2 linked regions of the Stegostoma tigrinum genome follow. The protein of the gene in region 2 purifies or fractionates together with the protein of the main gene of each other region. This does not show direct contact. Links are inferred from orthologs where the notes say so. Each region holds a gene or a part of one and is shown on either strand. Other genes may lie near its edges.

What was found.
Region 1: the proteins of eif3m (region 2) and eif3ba purify together in Homo sapiens (affinity purification with mass spectrometry; 8 studies listed by BioGRID and IntAct, counting the BioPlex papers as one, with this or other methods). This does not show direct contact. The link is inferred for Stegostoma tigrinum from reciprocal best matches to the Homo sapiens genes EIF3M and EIF3B.

What each region holds. Positions count from the first base shown.
Region 1 is NC_081376.1:1,082,587-1,090,849, forward strand, and holds the start of eif3ba (eukaryotic translation initiation factor 3, subunit Ba), read right to left. Parts: upstream 3,183-8,263; 5' UTR 3,149-3,182; coding exon 3,028-3,148; intron 1-3,027. Other genes in the region: brat1 (BRCA1-associated ATM activator 1), read left to right, coding at 5,483-5,609, 6,596-6,750.
Region 2 is NC_081370.1:43,420,047-43,427,224, forward strand, and holds the start of eif3m (eukaryotic translation initiation factor 3 subunit M), read left to right. Parts: upstream 1-4,049; 5' UTR 4,050-4,132; coding exon 4,133-4,174; intron 4,175-6,212; coding exon 6,213-6,345; intron 6,346-6,543; coding exon 6,544-6,682; intron 6,683-7,178. UniProt on the Homo sapiens protein: Component of the eukaryotic translation initiation factor 3 (eIF-3) complex, which is required for several steps in the initiation of protein synthesis.

The sequences.
Region 1 (8,263 bases), on a different chromosome or scaffold from region 2:
GACATCCCCGCCACTTTGACCTGTCTGTCTCCTCTCCACCTATCTATTCCTTTATCCATCTTCCATCCACCCAACCCCTTTATTTCAGAATCCCCTTACCCTCCCCCATTTCTGAAAAAGGGTCCAGAGCCAAAACGTCAGCTCTCCTACTCGGCCTGCTGTGTTCATCCGGCTCTACACCTTGTTATCCCAGATTCTAAAGCATCGGCAGTTCCCACTATCTCTGAATAAAATATAACTGGTGCCCTCACATGAAAATTTTATTTCGCATAACAAAATAGGAGTGCAGGAAATTGAAAATAAAGGACATACATTTGCATATATTTTGATGACTACTTCACAACCAATGAAATACTTTGGACGAGTAGTCATAATCTAACTTCAGAACACAGCAGCTAACTTGCCTACAGCAAACTTCCACATAGATCAATACAATAGACACCAGACAGAAAATCTGTATTTTTTTGGCATGCTCATTGATGGATAAATATTGATCAGGACATTAGAAAGCACAGTCCAACACTTTTTCAGAGAAGTGCTATGGGAACTTCTGGATTTACCCATGCAGACTCATAGGAAGTTCATTTAATGTCTCTTCCACAAGATGGCACCAATGACAATTAGCACTTTGAGTACTGCACAGGAGTGTCATTTCTGTTTTTGTGCTCCAGCCACAGCGTATAACTTAAACACGGAATCTTGGGCTTAAAATGTCAGATTAAACTAAGCCAAGACTGGCACAATCATGTGCAATGAAAAAAAAATCAATCTGAAACATTAATTCAGCTTCTCTTTAAACAGAGCTGTTGTCAGATCCGTTTAGTGATCCAACAATTGTTCTCATTTTCACTTCTCCACTGTCCTACAGTATGTGCATCTGCTATCTGGAGAATACCACAAGTAAATATTCAACTACAGTTAATGTTTCTGGTCAGACCATTTAACCAGAGGATGTAAAAGATTTGGATTTCTAGAAGGTGTTGGATAAGCGACGTATGTCAGACTACTTTTTTTATTATTCATTCATGGGATGTGGGCAATGCTGGCGGGGCCAGGATTTATTGCCCACCATGAAAAAGTAATAGTGCACTGCCCTATTGAAGCAATGCAGTCCATTTGGACACACAATGTAGTTAGGAAGAGAGTTCTGAGCACGTGCGGCATTGGAAGTAGTATATTAGCACAGATACAAGCTTGTCTACACAATAGACGACTTGGGACAAGGAGGCACGTTTAGGATGGCAATCCACAACCAGTGGTGTGCCACAGGGATCAGTGCTCAGGCCACATTTATTTAGAAGATATATCAATTATTTAGACAATGCAAGTGAGTATACTATCACCAAGTTTGCAATGACACAAGAAAACTGGTGGGAAGGCAAGTGGTGAGGTTGGCAGTCTGCAAAGACATGTAGCAAGTGGGCAAATATTTGACAATTTAAATATAACGTGGCAAAATGTAAGGTTATGCACTTGGCCAAGGCAGAACAGCTAAATATTGTTTACATGGAGAAAGACAGCAGAAAGCTGCAGCACAGAGGTATCTGGTAGTCTGTGAGGGCATCCGAATGGTTTCTAAAACACTAACATATGAAAGTTCAGCAGGAAATAGGAAAACCTTGCTAAAACTACAGAATCCTTACAGAATACTGCAATCAGTTTTGATATCCCCATCTCATGAAAAGTATAACTGACACCGGAGGCAAAATAGGAGTGGTCAATTAGGTTGATCCTGGATACAGAGGAATTGTCTTATGTGGTAAGGTCGAGTAGATTGGGCCTGTACTCACAGGAGTCCAAATGAATGAAAGGTGACTTTTACTTAGATTCTTCCAGGAAGGTGTGGAGATGTTGCTTCCCCTTGTGTTAAGAGTCTAGGATCAAAGAGAATAATTTTACAGTAAAGGGTCACCCAGTTAGGTGAGAGTTGGAGCAGAGTTGCCTCTCTCTAAGGATAGTGAATTTGTGGAATTCTTTACCATAGAGGGCTGCAGAAGCTGGGTTGTGCTAGGTATATTCAAGACTGAGATCAACAAATTTTCAATCAATCAGTAAAGGAATAAAGGGTTTATGGGGAAAAGGCAGGAAAGGGGATTTGAGGGTTATTAGACCAGCTACAATCTCACTGAATGGAACCACAGACTCAATGTGCCAATTGAGCTAATTTTGCACCTTTATGTCAAAATCTTATTAATTGATTTTATATAAAGTGCCTGTAGTACATGAAATGTGAATATTTGCTATTGTTGGAGGATCAGATTAACTACAGATTTAAAATATTTTGATTACAGATTTTTCTAATCAGCTAGCAATCAGTTTATAACCATGCTAAAATTACATTTGTAATGTTTACAGAATGATTTGGTTCTGGTGTGAACATGTTTTTCCTTTTATCTCATGGAAGACATTGCATATTCATCTAATTTATAAGGATCCCATATTGCATTGCACCCTTCTCAATATAGGTTACACAAGAGTACAAGACATTTAAAGTGATATTGAATTGAAGAACTGTGCAGTTGCAGTTACATCCACCACTCTGTAGTTCATACAATGTTAACACCGGATACTGCACCTTATTTAACTGTAATTTGCGTCACTACGACATACACTTCTAATGGTACAGATCAAACGGAGGCTAGTGATTTCTAATTAAGTTATTTTAAACAAAGTGTGTGAAAATACTTTCAAGTGAAAAAGCGGATTCCCTAGTTTAAATGAAGAACTGCAGTTGTCGCTTAATGATTCACCTCCCTTCACTGTACAGGCTATCTTTCTGGAAAAAAAATATTTTGTCACAACACTAGACACTACTGAATTTATGATCATTAATAATGTGTGTCATTCCCAAGTCAGTGTGTTCCAGCTCTATCAGCCAGGACCCAGTCAACCTGCCTGCTCATCCGGGTCCAGGCCCAGCCTAGGCCTCAGGCTCCAGTCACTCCCAAACGCACATGGGCTGGGGATATGAACCGGTTCCCCTCCATGTGTGCGAATACCGAAAGCTACCCCACTCATTGTCTTTACCCTCATCGGAGATGTCATCCTCGAAGCCTTCAGGGTCGCTGAAGCCTTCCTCGGGCTCCTCCAGCTCTGCCAACTCATCGTCAGCCTCCCGAGCCTCACCATCCCCACTCGTCTCCTTCATCCTGCTTTCGCTGGGCGGCCGGAAAAGAAAGAGCGAGCGCGGAAGTGCGCGGCCGGGCCTCTCTGGGGGAAGGGGGGGTGCAAGGCATGCGCGGTCCCGCCGGTTCGCCTGTTCCAAAGCAATCAGAGGGGCGAAAGCGCTGACATATAGATAGGATTTGGAGGAAATTACCGGTTGTTAAACGGAGGTAGTTTACATACGTATATTTTTGAAAATCTATTACTATAATTCGCTGATTTTGTGTGAGAATCACCGCTACTGTTGAGGATTTGTTGTGGAACATTCCTAATGCTCCCCCCTGACTGTGAATGGTGATCCAGTCCAGGTCGTCTGCTGGAGGGCATGGCGATGGCTTCGTTTGGTTTGTGCTCGTATCCGCGCTCTCTACCTTTGGGTTGATTGTTCACGCAAGGTGTCTGTTTACATTAAAACCTCAGGTCATTTTAAGGCGATTGTTGTAGTGGAGCCAGAGTCCGCTTTTCCCAGTTTTGATTGTAGGACAGTGTCCAGTTTAATCTTCCCTCACCTTGTAGTTTATTTCACTGACATGGATGCCTCTAGAATGGGCGGCTCACAAATGGCCCATTAGACCTAACTGGTTGGTACAAGTGCTGCACGCCAGCTTCCTCCATTCACTGTTTTACCCTCTCGGTGTTTTTGTTTTATCTCATTTACTTAACCTTTCAATACCTATGCCATTCTCTTTAACCACTTATTCTATCCGCCCTCAGGGAAAGGAAGTTTCTTCTGAGTTCTCTACTAGATTTATTACTGACTGTTTTATAGTTAGGATGCCAGGCCGAAAACATACCTAAACTTGCTTATTAAAACATTATTGACGTGAAATGTTAATTCTATTTTTCTCCCCACAGATGCTGCCTGACCTTGAGTGTTTCTGGCATTTTGCCTTCCCCTTTCCTTAACTTCTTTAATGTCAAAGGAAAGGAATTAAGGGATAAGGACCAAGGGCAGGCAGAAGGGATTAGTTTACCTTGGCGTCATGGTCGGCACAGCATTGCGGGCTGAAGGGCCGTTCCTGTGCTGTACTATTCTATGTTCTATGAAAGGTGCGAGTGAATTCTTCTAGAAAGACAGACGTCAGCAATCAAAGTAATAGGATCAGATTGAAAGTATCATTTGTAATGAGTATTTTCAGTTCGTGTTTGGTATTTTACAAAATACTTCCACTCATGTCGTATGGTCTTAAAATAAAAAATGCATATCTATTAGAATCTGACTTACCGAAGTTCTTCTGCAACAAAATGTAACAATTGTACGCTTGGAACAAAGATATTCTCAAACCACAGTAGTGTTACAGTTACCTTATTTTGTCCATGCGCCTGGGCTAAATTTAGTGTTAAGGTGATCCTCGGGCTACATCTGGCCTATCACAAGACACATTGTTCCTACTCTAAAATATTGACAACTTGTATTCCTGTCTTACCTACACCCCTTCTGAAATGTAATTCCCTGGCTTTGCCTCATCGAGAACTGACCTCTCCATCGCCCTTTTTGCTGATTTATTGTCTTTGTTTTTCCTAAGTCTGTCTTAATAAAGAACTCTAGAGTCTACAACCTTTCCTGTGTATCCAACATCTGCCCTTACTAAGCAGAAGTAACTCTGAAGCTAAGAGTATTAATGTTGATCATTTTCAAATTTTAGCAGAGTTCACTAGATATGTTTGCTTCTGATATATTCTTTCCTATCAAGGTATAAATATAAACTACTAAAAACAGAAAAAGCTGGAATTATTCAGCAAGGCTGGCCGCTTTTTTAGCAAATGAAGTGGAGTTGACAGTGTTTCCGATCTATGATTATTCAGAACTGAGTCGTTGACGTGAAATATTAATTCCGTTTCACTCTCCAGTGCCACACAGTTGAGTATTTCAAGCTGTTTTTGTTTTCATTTCAGATTTTCAGTGTGTGCATTACTTTTATTCATAATATTTTATGAATGAATGCAAGTTGTTATAACGAAAAGGAGAAACCAGACTTAAACACATCTGTTCCAAAAAACCATTATTTTGATATTCAGCACAATACACATGAACAATTAATCATAATTACTTTAAAAAATGTTGATAAGTCATACTTCTGAAGATGGGATGAAATATCAAGTTGTATTTGTTGAATTGCTTTGTATGGGAGCATCTTGGAGAATATAAGTATCTTTTGGTAGTGTTAAGATAGTGAGGAACTACTTGCCAATTGTAGCAAATTTAAAACTTTTGGCAATGTTCTTCAGAAGGTATTTTGCATAATATACAAGAGCATGAAGATTTGTATTTTGTTTTTTTTCCCTCCCATCAGAGAATTTATCATATAATTGGAAAATGGAAAGTGAGTGTGTGGAGTTGTTGCCCCGTGTTTTCTCAGTTTTAGGAGATGCCGGGCAAACGGTTGTTGATGATACCTGTTTGGAGAAGCTGCTTGATTGCTTCCGAGGAACAACAGAAAATGGTAACTGGATACTCACTTAATTTGAAGTCATGATTAATACAACCAGTATCAAGTATGAAATGAGTTTTATTTGTATAATTTATTTTTTTTCTACACATTAATGTAATCTAGTACTGGCCTTTGTTACAGTTTGTGATATTAAAGCTATTATATCAATTCTGTTGCAAAAATACTTTGCCACCAATGAGGTTTTTTATCTCCCACATCAACCGTCCCATGAAATTTTCAAATAAGCCTTCAAATTTTGAAGAAATTGTGCCTAGGTTGACATGGTAAGTTAAGGTGAAATAGATTATTTTTCAGAAAAGTTGGTTGACCCATTCATGTCTAAATAACATGTCTATGTGTCTGGATTGAACATTGGCTGCTTTCTTTTAACCATCAAATTTGGATTTCTGTTCATGTGGTCTGCATTACTCAGTTTCATCTGGCATTCCTATCCATTTGCCTGGTTGCCCTAGTTTTTGTTATCCAGGGAATTTAATGCGTTATAATATTGTTGATGTAATTACATTTGTCACCTCCAAATTGCACTATTGTTCTAACTCATTTAAGGTACAGAAACCAAAACATAAGACTATGCCTTGAGTGTGATCCTCAGTCTGTGATTAATCAGAAGTCCACAATGAGAATAGCGCTAAAACTGGCCTCAGAGGGAAGAAGACTGGGTAGAGTTCTGACTACTGATTGTTAACCAATGATTCCTGTTAAAAAGCTCAATTTTGGATATTTGACTGGATACAGAATTGATCTTGGCTAAGCTATCCCACTGATTAAACAGTATGCTGACACAGTGAATATGACCTCACACTGTACCAGTGAGCAATCATTGTCCTTGACCTTTGCAGGAAGACAATACCATCAGGTGAAGGAGAAAATACTGACACCTATGTTAAATAAAGGAACATTATAAACTACAGTGTTAAAATTGAATAGTAAATTTGTGTAAAACTTTATTCACTTTTACTTTTCTGTGTTCCCTTCAGAAACAGAACTCCATATTCTACAGAGAATCCCGTGTCTGACAAACATAATTGTAAATGTATCCAAACAGAAGGATATTCACCCTAACATCCTCTCCTTCATTATGAAGCTGACTGGACTATTTGCTGCATCAGAAAACTATTTTATTCAGTTAGAGGTTAGTAATTAGAAGATAGTTTATTTTCAAGTTTTTGTTTGACGTAAAAAATATTGTTTGTGGTATTCAAGTATAACTGCTCGATTAGAGTTGAAATTAAATTCAAGTTGAAAGTGAAAATTCTGGACATAGACCAGTATATCTATGTCTAACAAAGATGAAAGAGTTCAACACCTAGTATGTACTTCTATTTGGCAAAGGGTGTGCATGTTAAAATTAAATCTTCCTCCCACTTTTTTCATATGCTGTTGCACCCACTATGTATTTCCAGCATTTTCTGGTTTTGTTATTTTCTTCGGGTATCTTGAAATGCCATGCCTATTCATTTTACACAGGATAATTTGTTCAGAGCAATGTAGCCTTGATCTCATCCAAAACTCTGCTTTCTATAACCTAACTTGCGCTGTGTCCTGTTCACAATCACCTCTGTGATCACTGACCAGCATTGGCTTTCAGCTAGACAACATCATTCTTCCTAAAGTTCTCATTCTTAGTTTCAAATTCCAACATAAACCTATACCTCCTTATGTCTGTTACTTCCTGTAAGCATGCAACGCTTTGAGATATCCTTATACCAATGTTGCCAATTCAGATCAGCTATGACTTAACTATCAACTGCCAGGACCTCCAACATTGGCTATACCTCCTTAAATTCTCTACTTTGTTTCTCTCTTTTTAAGTTTATTTTTACAAATGCTTCTTCATGATGAGGACCCAGCAGAGGAGAGTGCAAATGTTGTTCATTCCCCCAGGTTCTGTGCCTGGGCAGCACCAGCACTCTGAAGTGACTGCCTCGTGCCTAGCTCACCATACTCGTGCTCTGCTTTCGAATGGACTTCCAGCACATGAGTTTCTATTGTCTTGGAGCAGGTCCTAAATCCATGTAACCATTTGTTTTAAAACAAGAACAGGAATTACTGGAGAAACTCAGCAGATCATAAATGTAGAAAATAGAACACTATAGCACAATACAGGCCCTTTGGCACAAGATGTTGTGCCAACCTATTATCCTATTAAGATCAATCTACCTTGCATACTCCGCATTTTACTATCCTCCAGGTGTCTATCCAAGAGTTGCTTAAAAGTCTCTAAAGTATCTGACTCCACGACCACTGCTAGCAGTATATTCCACACGCCCTGACAGATCTGGCAGCATCTGTGGGAAGAAAGTAGTGTTAATGTTTTGAGTCTTGTGACTTCATCAGAAGAGTTTATTTTGACAAGCAGGATATATTCTGGGTGTTGTAAACCATGTCCATCCTATGTCTTGCTCCTGCTCCACTCCATATGTGCCAGCCCACTATAGGCTTACGTGCCCTTTTCGGAGCCAGTACCTACCCGTGGATGTTGGAAATGTTTTCACTGAGATTGGTAGATTGAAGATAGGGTTGAGTCCTATATGTTTTTAAGTTTCTTACTTCCCTCCACTAAAATTGCCTCCGATTACTTTTTAACGTGACAATTTAAACACAACTAATTGACCCACTGCCATTCGACCGTTTCTCTTTTGCTT
Region 2 (7,178 bases):
GAAAAATTCCAATAGATCTGTCAAGCATGATTTCCCTTTCATACATCCATGTTGACTCTGCACAATCCTGTCACTGTTTTTCAAGCGCACTGCTGTTAAAATCTTTTATAATGGACTCTAGAATTTTCCCTACAATTGATGTTAGGCTAACTGGTCTATAATTCTCTGTTTTCTTTCTACCTTCTTTCTCAAACAGTGGGATTATATTAGCTACACTACAATCCATGGGAAAATGTGAATAAAACAAGAAATTATGATTTAAAAATGTATAAAAACACTGATTCAGCTTCAACTGGCACATTCTGTCTAGGTTTGACCAGGCATGAAAGTTCTGCAATTGGGGCATTCAAAAAGGAAGCTTGTCCGGGTTTACTAGGAGAAGTTGGGAGAATCACACAAAGAGAAATGTTCATAGAGATACAATGGGCTGAAAGGCCTCCCTCTGTACCATAACAGCTCTGTAATTGTGCTCTATGCGTTCCAACACTACCTGACATTGATAATTACCATGCTAAGAATTTTTCAAGTTATCACCTGGCTTGATACTTTTCAAACTTTAGCCCTTTGGCAAATTAGCTATGTGAAGTTACAGGGACAGAGTGGGTCTGGCTATGATATAAGGCAATACTTAATAATAAATCCAACATTTAAAAGTTTCCTTAGCGAGAGAATGTTGAGAATGTATAACCCACTACTACATGGGTGGTATAATGGGTGTATAAAACAATTGCATTTAAGATAAAGTTGGATAATGGTATGGAATAGCAAGTTATGGGATTAGATGAAATAGGGTAAAAGCAGGATTCATCACAGACCTGTTAAGGTAATTGCCCTGCTTTTGATCAGTATATTCTATCTAATTTTATGTATAGGATTGAAAACAAAGAACTTGAATTTACATAAAACATTTCACAATCTCAAAATGTTCCCATATGCTTTACAGCCAGTGAGGAATCTGTGCTGGATCATCTGTTGTATTATTTGGCAATACAGCAGTGAATGTATACAAGAATGAATGAATAAATGAAGATTCTACATACAGCAATGTGATTAACTACCAGAATCTAAAGTAGGTTTTAATTTCAAGTATGGGACTTGATGAAATAGAGTGCATTACTCCCAATGCCAGTAGAGGCCATGGCTTCAGCTGCCTGGGACCCATATACTGTGATTTCCCTTTTACTTCTGCCTCCCCACATCCCTCCACTCCAAGATTTTCCTTAAAACTAAAGTCTGTAGTGCAGACTTTTGAGTGCTCCTTCCTTGTTGCTTGCCATCTATTTTGCTTTTATCTTTATGGATGAATTTGAAATTGTATGTACCTTGAAGATGTGCTATTATTATTATGAAGTAGAGCTGTTGCATTCCAAAAAAATTTGCAAACGCTGAGACTGCAACTAGGAAACTAAAACCAACCTCACTTTAGAGCTTCTCGGCCTTTCTGGTTCAGAATCGCTCCTCGACCTCACTTTAGAGCTTCTCGGCCTTTCTGGTTCAGAATCGCTTCTCGACCTCACTTTACAGCTTCTCGGCCTTTATGGTTCAGAATTGCTTCTCGACCTCACTTTAGAGCTTCTCGGCCTTTCTGGTTCAGAATCGCCTCTCGACCTCACTTTAGAGCTTCTCGGCCTTTCTGGTTCAGAATCGCTTCTCGACCTCACTTTAGTATGTTTCCTCAGTTCTCGGTAAAATTTTAAAATTGTATGTTTCATCATTAATTTGTTGAAGAATGCTAGAATGTCTCAGTGTTTATATCATATTAAATACACTTTTTGATTCTATTGGAAGCAGCCATTAAACAGTCCAAAGCACAAATCCAGCCAGAAAATTGCATGGATTATACCTATGTAATGTTGGAAAAGAGAAATGTTGTCAAAGCTTTTTGTTGCATTTATTAGGAGACAATTACAAGAATACCAGAACAATGATTTATACTAGGTGAAAAGAGGGGGACTATTGGTCTGGAAAGTTGGCTGCAATTGGTTGAGGTGCTGTAATGGAGAATCAGGAACAGGTTACTGCCAAGCTTTTGTTTAAATTCAAACCAGGCAAGTTGACTCTGAATCGTCAAGACTTTGCCATGAGGAACGCACTAAGGAATGCTGACCGCAAAGGTTGAAAAGGGGACAATGCATGGGCATGTTCTATCTCTTCACAAATATCTGTAACTTCTAGCATGCATAAATATGCCATATTGCTAGTCTGACAGTTAATATTAATTTGGTTTTACAGTAACTCTGAGCACAGTCAGGATTGTTTAGCACGTGTTATCAAATCAGATATCATCTCTAAAATAGCAGACAATGTCCTGAGTTTTACAAGCACAGGCTAATTGAGTATAGTCAGTACTCTGTCTATCGGGAACAGCCAAAAGAATATCCTTTTGATAGGATCTGCCAGAGCTGGGATGTATAACCTACATCCTTTGCATCGTGTCAGCACTGAAACTCACTGATAACATTACATATTTGTGCAGCAGACACTAAGAGGGTGCCAATTGTGACATTCTGCTAACCAGATACGTAATCAGTGTGGCCACCGGATTCTGATGCTACTGCCTTGGATTCCAATCCATCCAAACAAGTGCCTGCTGAACAATAAAATATCCAAGAGAAATCCAGAAGTTCAAGCCTGATGCAGGACTTCGTGAAGTCCCTACAGTGTGAAACCATTGAGTCAACCCCGATCCTCTGAAGAGCATCCCATCCAGACCCACCCCATCACTGTCAGCCTGCAGTTCCCATGGCTAATCCACTGGTCTGCACGTCACTGCACAATACGGGCAATTTAGTATGGCCGATACACCTAGCCTGCAGGAGGAGAATGTGAAAGCTCCACACAGTTGCCGGAAGGTGGGATCAAATCCAGGTCCCTGGTGCTGTGACGCAACAGTGCCACCTTAACCTGAGGCCAAATTCCCAAGGATGGCCATTCTGCTATGAATTAGCAGCCTAGTTTGTGTGGGTGCATCTGTGTGTGATGTAGTCTCTAGAGTGAGATATAAACTCAAACCTTCTGCCTTAGAAGTATTTCCTGAGCTGTTACTGACACCAAATAAGAAAGACAGAAATGACACTGTGTGCAACAATGCACTGTGGAACAAAGAAAATTACAGCACAGGAACAGGCCCTTCGGCCCTCCAAGCCTGCGCCAATCAAGATCCCCTGTCTAACCTGTCATCTATTTTCTAATGGTCTGTGTCTATTTGCTCCCTGCTCATCCATGTACCTGTCCAAATATAATCTTAAAAGACGCTCATGTATCTGCATCTACCACCTCCGCTGGCAACGCGTTCCAGGCACCCAACACCCTCTGTGTAAATAACTTTCCACGCGTATCTCCCTTAAACTTTCCTCCTCTCACTTTGAACTCATGACCCCTAGTAATTGAGTCCCCCACTCTGGGAAAAAGCTTTTTGCTATGCACCCTGTCTATACCCCTCATGATTTTGCAGACCTCATTCAGGTCCCCCCTCAATCTCCGTCTTTCTAATGAAAATAATCCTAATCTACTCAACCTCTCTTCATAGCTCGCACCCTCCATACCAGGCAACATCCTGGTGAACCTCCTCTGCACCCTCTCCAAAGCATCCACATCCTTTTGGTAATGTGGCGACCAGGACTGTACACAGTACTCCAAATGTGGTCGAACTAAAGTCCTATACAACTGCAACATGACCTGCTAATTCTTGTACTCTAGAGGAACACAGCAGGTCAGACAGTATCAGAGCAGCAAGGAAGTTTCAGGTCGGAACCCTTCTTCATGTGCGTGGCTGGGGTACACATCAGATTTCTCCAACAATTACTGTTTTTTTTGTTTCAGATTTCGTGTATCAGCAGTTCTTTGCTTCACTTTAGATTAAAATAATTCACTTTCTCGAGCAAGTAGCATGATCTACGTCTTTCCGAAATACATTTTCCTTGTATTTTTTTACAACAGAATTTCCTGTCGCATATCTCCCCCGCACCCCCATTTGTTACACTGTCACTTGCTCTGTAACAAAGGATACAAGGGAGACTGCCCCCCTTTGAAGGTAAGTGATGGCTCCTTTAAGAGGCGGCGGGCGAGAAGTGACGCGATCACGCCGGAAGTGGCCAAGTTGGGAGGTGGAGAGACAGTTGGAGTGGAAGCCATGAGCGTACCGGCTTTCATCGACATTACTGAGGAGGACCAGGTCAGCGGGTGGTCTGGGGTGATATCCGAGTGAGCAGTGTCTAGGCGGCCGGCTGATCGATCCCGTTTCGTGCGGCGAGCGGCTGTGTCCCATCGCTGTCCGTCCAGACTTCCTTGTCCTAGAGCCTCGTGGGCCGGAGACACGGGGAGAGGGCCAAACGAGGAAGTCTGAGGCCGCTTAAAGTGACTTCGATGCGAAAGAGCCAGCACGTCTTGGAAATTGAACTTTGTTGTATTCTGCATAAGGAGATGTGCATCTTTCTAGCGCCTGTCACAACCTCCAGGCGTCCCAAAGAGCTTCAGAACAATTAGCGATTTTATAACGGGAGGGGCGGTATTCAAACCAGGACTAATGGTAACTGCAGACGCTGGAGAATCCGAGATAACAAAGTGTGGAGCTGGATGTACACAGCAGGCCAAGCAGCATCTCAGGAGCACAAAGTCCGAAATGTTAGCTTTTGTGCTCCTAAGATGCTGCTTGGCCTGCGGTATTCAAACCAGGGCTGGAGTTTTTTGATCAGTAAGCGAATCAAGGGTTATGGGGATAAGGCGGGAGTTGAGTTGATTAGGTTAGCTGATGTTTCGTTCGGGCAGACTCGATGGATGGACTGAATGTGCTACTTCTGCCCATTCTGTCATATGGCCACTGTTGTGGTATAACATAAAAACCGAAAGCGCATGCCATAAATAATTGGGTTCTCAGGAAGGATCACCAGATCCGAAACGTTAACTCTTGAGTTTTTAATCCACAGATGCTACCGGACTTGTTGACCTTTTCCAGCAACCTCTGTTTTTGTTGTTATTGCACAACAGTCGTTCAAAATTGTTTTCTGTGCTTTTGTGCCTGTTGACATAAGGGGCAGTTTGGCCTAACAAACTGAAGACTTCTATGTTTCACCAGGATACAAATTCTAAACCTATGTGTTTGCTCTGTTTCCATATGCCCAATGGTATTAATGTGGACTTCACAAACTTCAAAATCTCCCCCTCCCCCACTGCATCCCAAAACCAGCCCAGCTCATCCCCTCCTCCCTAACCTGTTCTTCCCCTCATCTCTCCCCTCCTCCCACCTCAATCCGCTCCTCCATTTCCCACCTACCAACCTCATCCCGCCTCCTTGACCTGTCAGTCCTCCCCAGACTGACCTATCTCCTCCCTACCTCCCCACCTACACTGTCCTCTCCACCTATCTTCTCCTCTATCCATCTTCGGTCTGCCTCCCCCTCTATCCCTATTTATTTCAGAACCCTCTCCCCATCCCCCTCTCTGATGAAGGGTCTAGGCCCGAAACATCAGCTTTTGTGCTCCTGAGATGCTGCTTGGCCTGCTGTGTTCATCCAGCTCCACACTTTGTTATCTTGGATTCTCCAGCATCTGCAGTTTCCATTATCTCTGATCGTTCAAAATATAGTTAGCCAGTTCACCAGAAACAAGTAAGAAGCCAATTACAGTGGTTTCTTGAGTGACTGGAAGAGCAATTTTATTACTTATAGTCCTGACAAAAACACAGACGCAACATCAATTGCGCACACAAACATTTACATGAAATAAAAAAAAATTGATAGTATCCAGTGTGAAATGAAGATGAAAGATTATCCAGTTTAAAGTTTTTAGTGTCCTTGTGGAGGTGTGTTGTAATTTGAGACCATGGTTGGTTAGGGCTGTGGATCATCTGCAGCAATGAGTACTGCAGTATCTTTGTGGCCTTGGTATTCCAATGTCTCTTCACTTTGCAATATCGTGATGTTTTGCCCTTTGCGAGGGAGAAGGACTCCAACTCTGTGCCTTTTTTTTGAAAGGAATGCTCCCTGAGAGACCATTGATTTGTATATTTCGGTCTCTAATTAACTTAATGACATATGAATTGCTGATGCTGAAGTTAGTTCAGGTTTGTCATTACAGAACCAATTGGTTATAGATGCATCAGACACTCTCGAGCTGAATCTGTGTGAAAAGTTTCCTTACTTTCACAATGTAAAATATGAGGAGGTTGTGGGTTTCTGGAAAAAAAAATTCAAAGCCTACATAAATTTTCCTAGGCCTCTGAGCTTCGATCCTACCTGAAGTCAAAAGGAGCTGAAATTTCAGAAGAAAACTCTGAAGGTGGGCTACACGTTGACTTGGCACACATCATTGAAGTCTGTGACGTATGTTTCAAGGAAGATGACAAAGGTTTGTCTGCTCACTAATCATCTGGCTCACTTTAAAGTTACTGCCAGTTCTGTTTAAGGACCTTGATTTTAACCAATGATTTGTGCAAAGGGCCTTGATGAAACATTTGAGACAGGCTGAAGTGTTATGCATGCCTGAGAGTTAGGTCCGTTGAACTTGTTGCTACCCTGTTTAATATTTTTTTGTTTCTTTATGCAGATGTGGAAAGTGTGATGAACAGCATTGTGTCACTTCTCCTAATTCTGGAGACTGAAAAGCAGGAAGCACTGACTGAAAACTTGTGTGAGAAGTTGCTGAAAGCTTGTGATGGTGAGCGATCGTCTCTCAGATTGCAGTTGTGAGTATGTAATTTAACTTGAGTTCATACCATCTGAGTCTCTTTCAATGTAAAAAGAAAATTACCAACTTGTTTATATTATGCAGTTTTCAAAAAAAGTCAAAATAGTTATGTTACTAACACAACAGTGTGTTGGAGGTACATTAATGTTCATAAAATGCCTTAATAGTAAGTAAGTCAATAATTCCAATAAAGCAGCTTCCTTCATAGCCAAATCACTTCATCTAACTTTCGAAGACCTTGGTCATCCTCTTGCCTGAGTTATTTCCCTCCATTTGTCATCCTTGAATAAGGAAGGTCTAAATATCTTCACTAAATTTGTTTTCTCTAATCCTGCGGATAGGAGTTATTATTAAATGTTGTAGGTAAATATCTTCAGAATGTTGTTTCCTCCATTCTTTTCTGTTAAATGAACCAGGCTACATCGTACAAATCTCCACTATTTAGTTGACCCCGGTTACAGTAGTGAAAAATCAAAAAAACCCATTATTAAAGT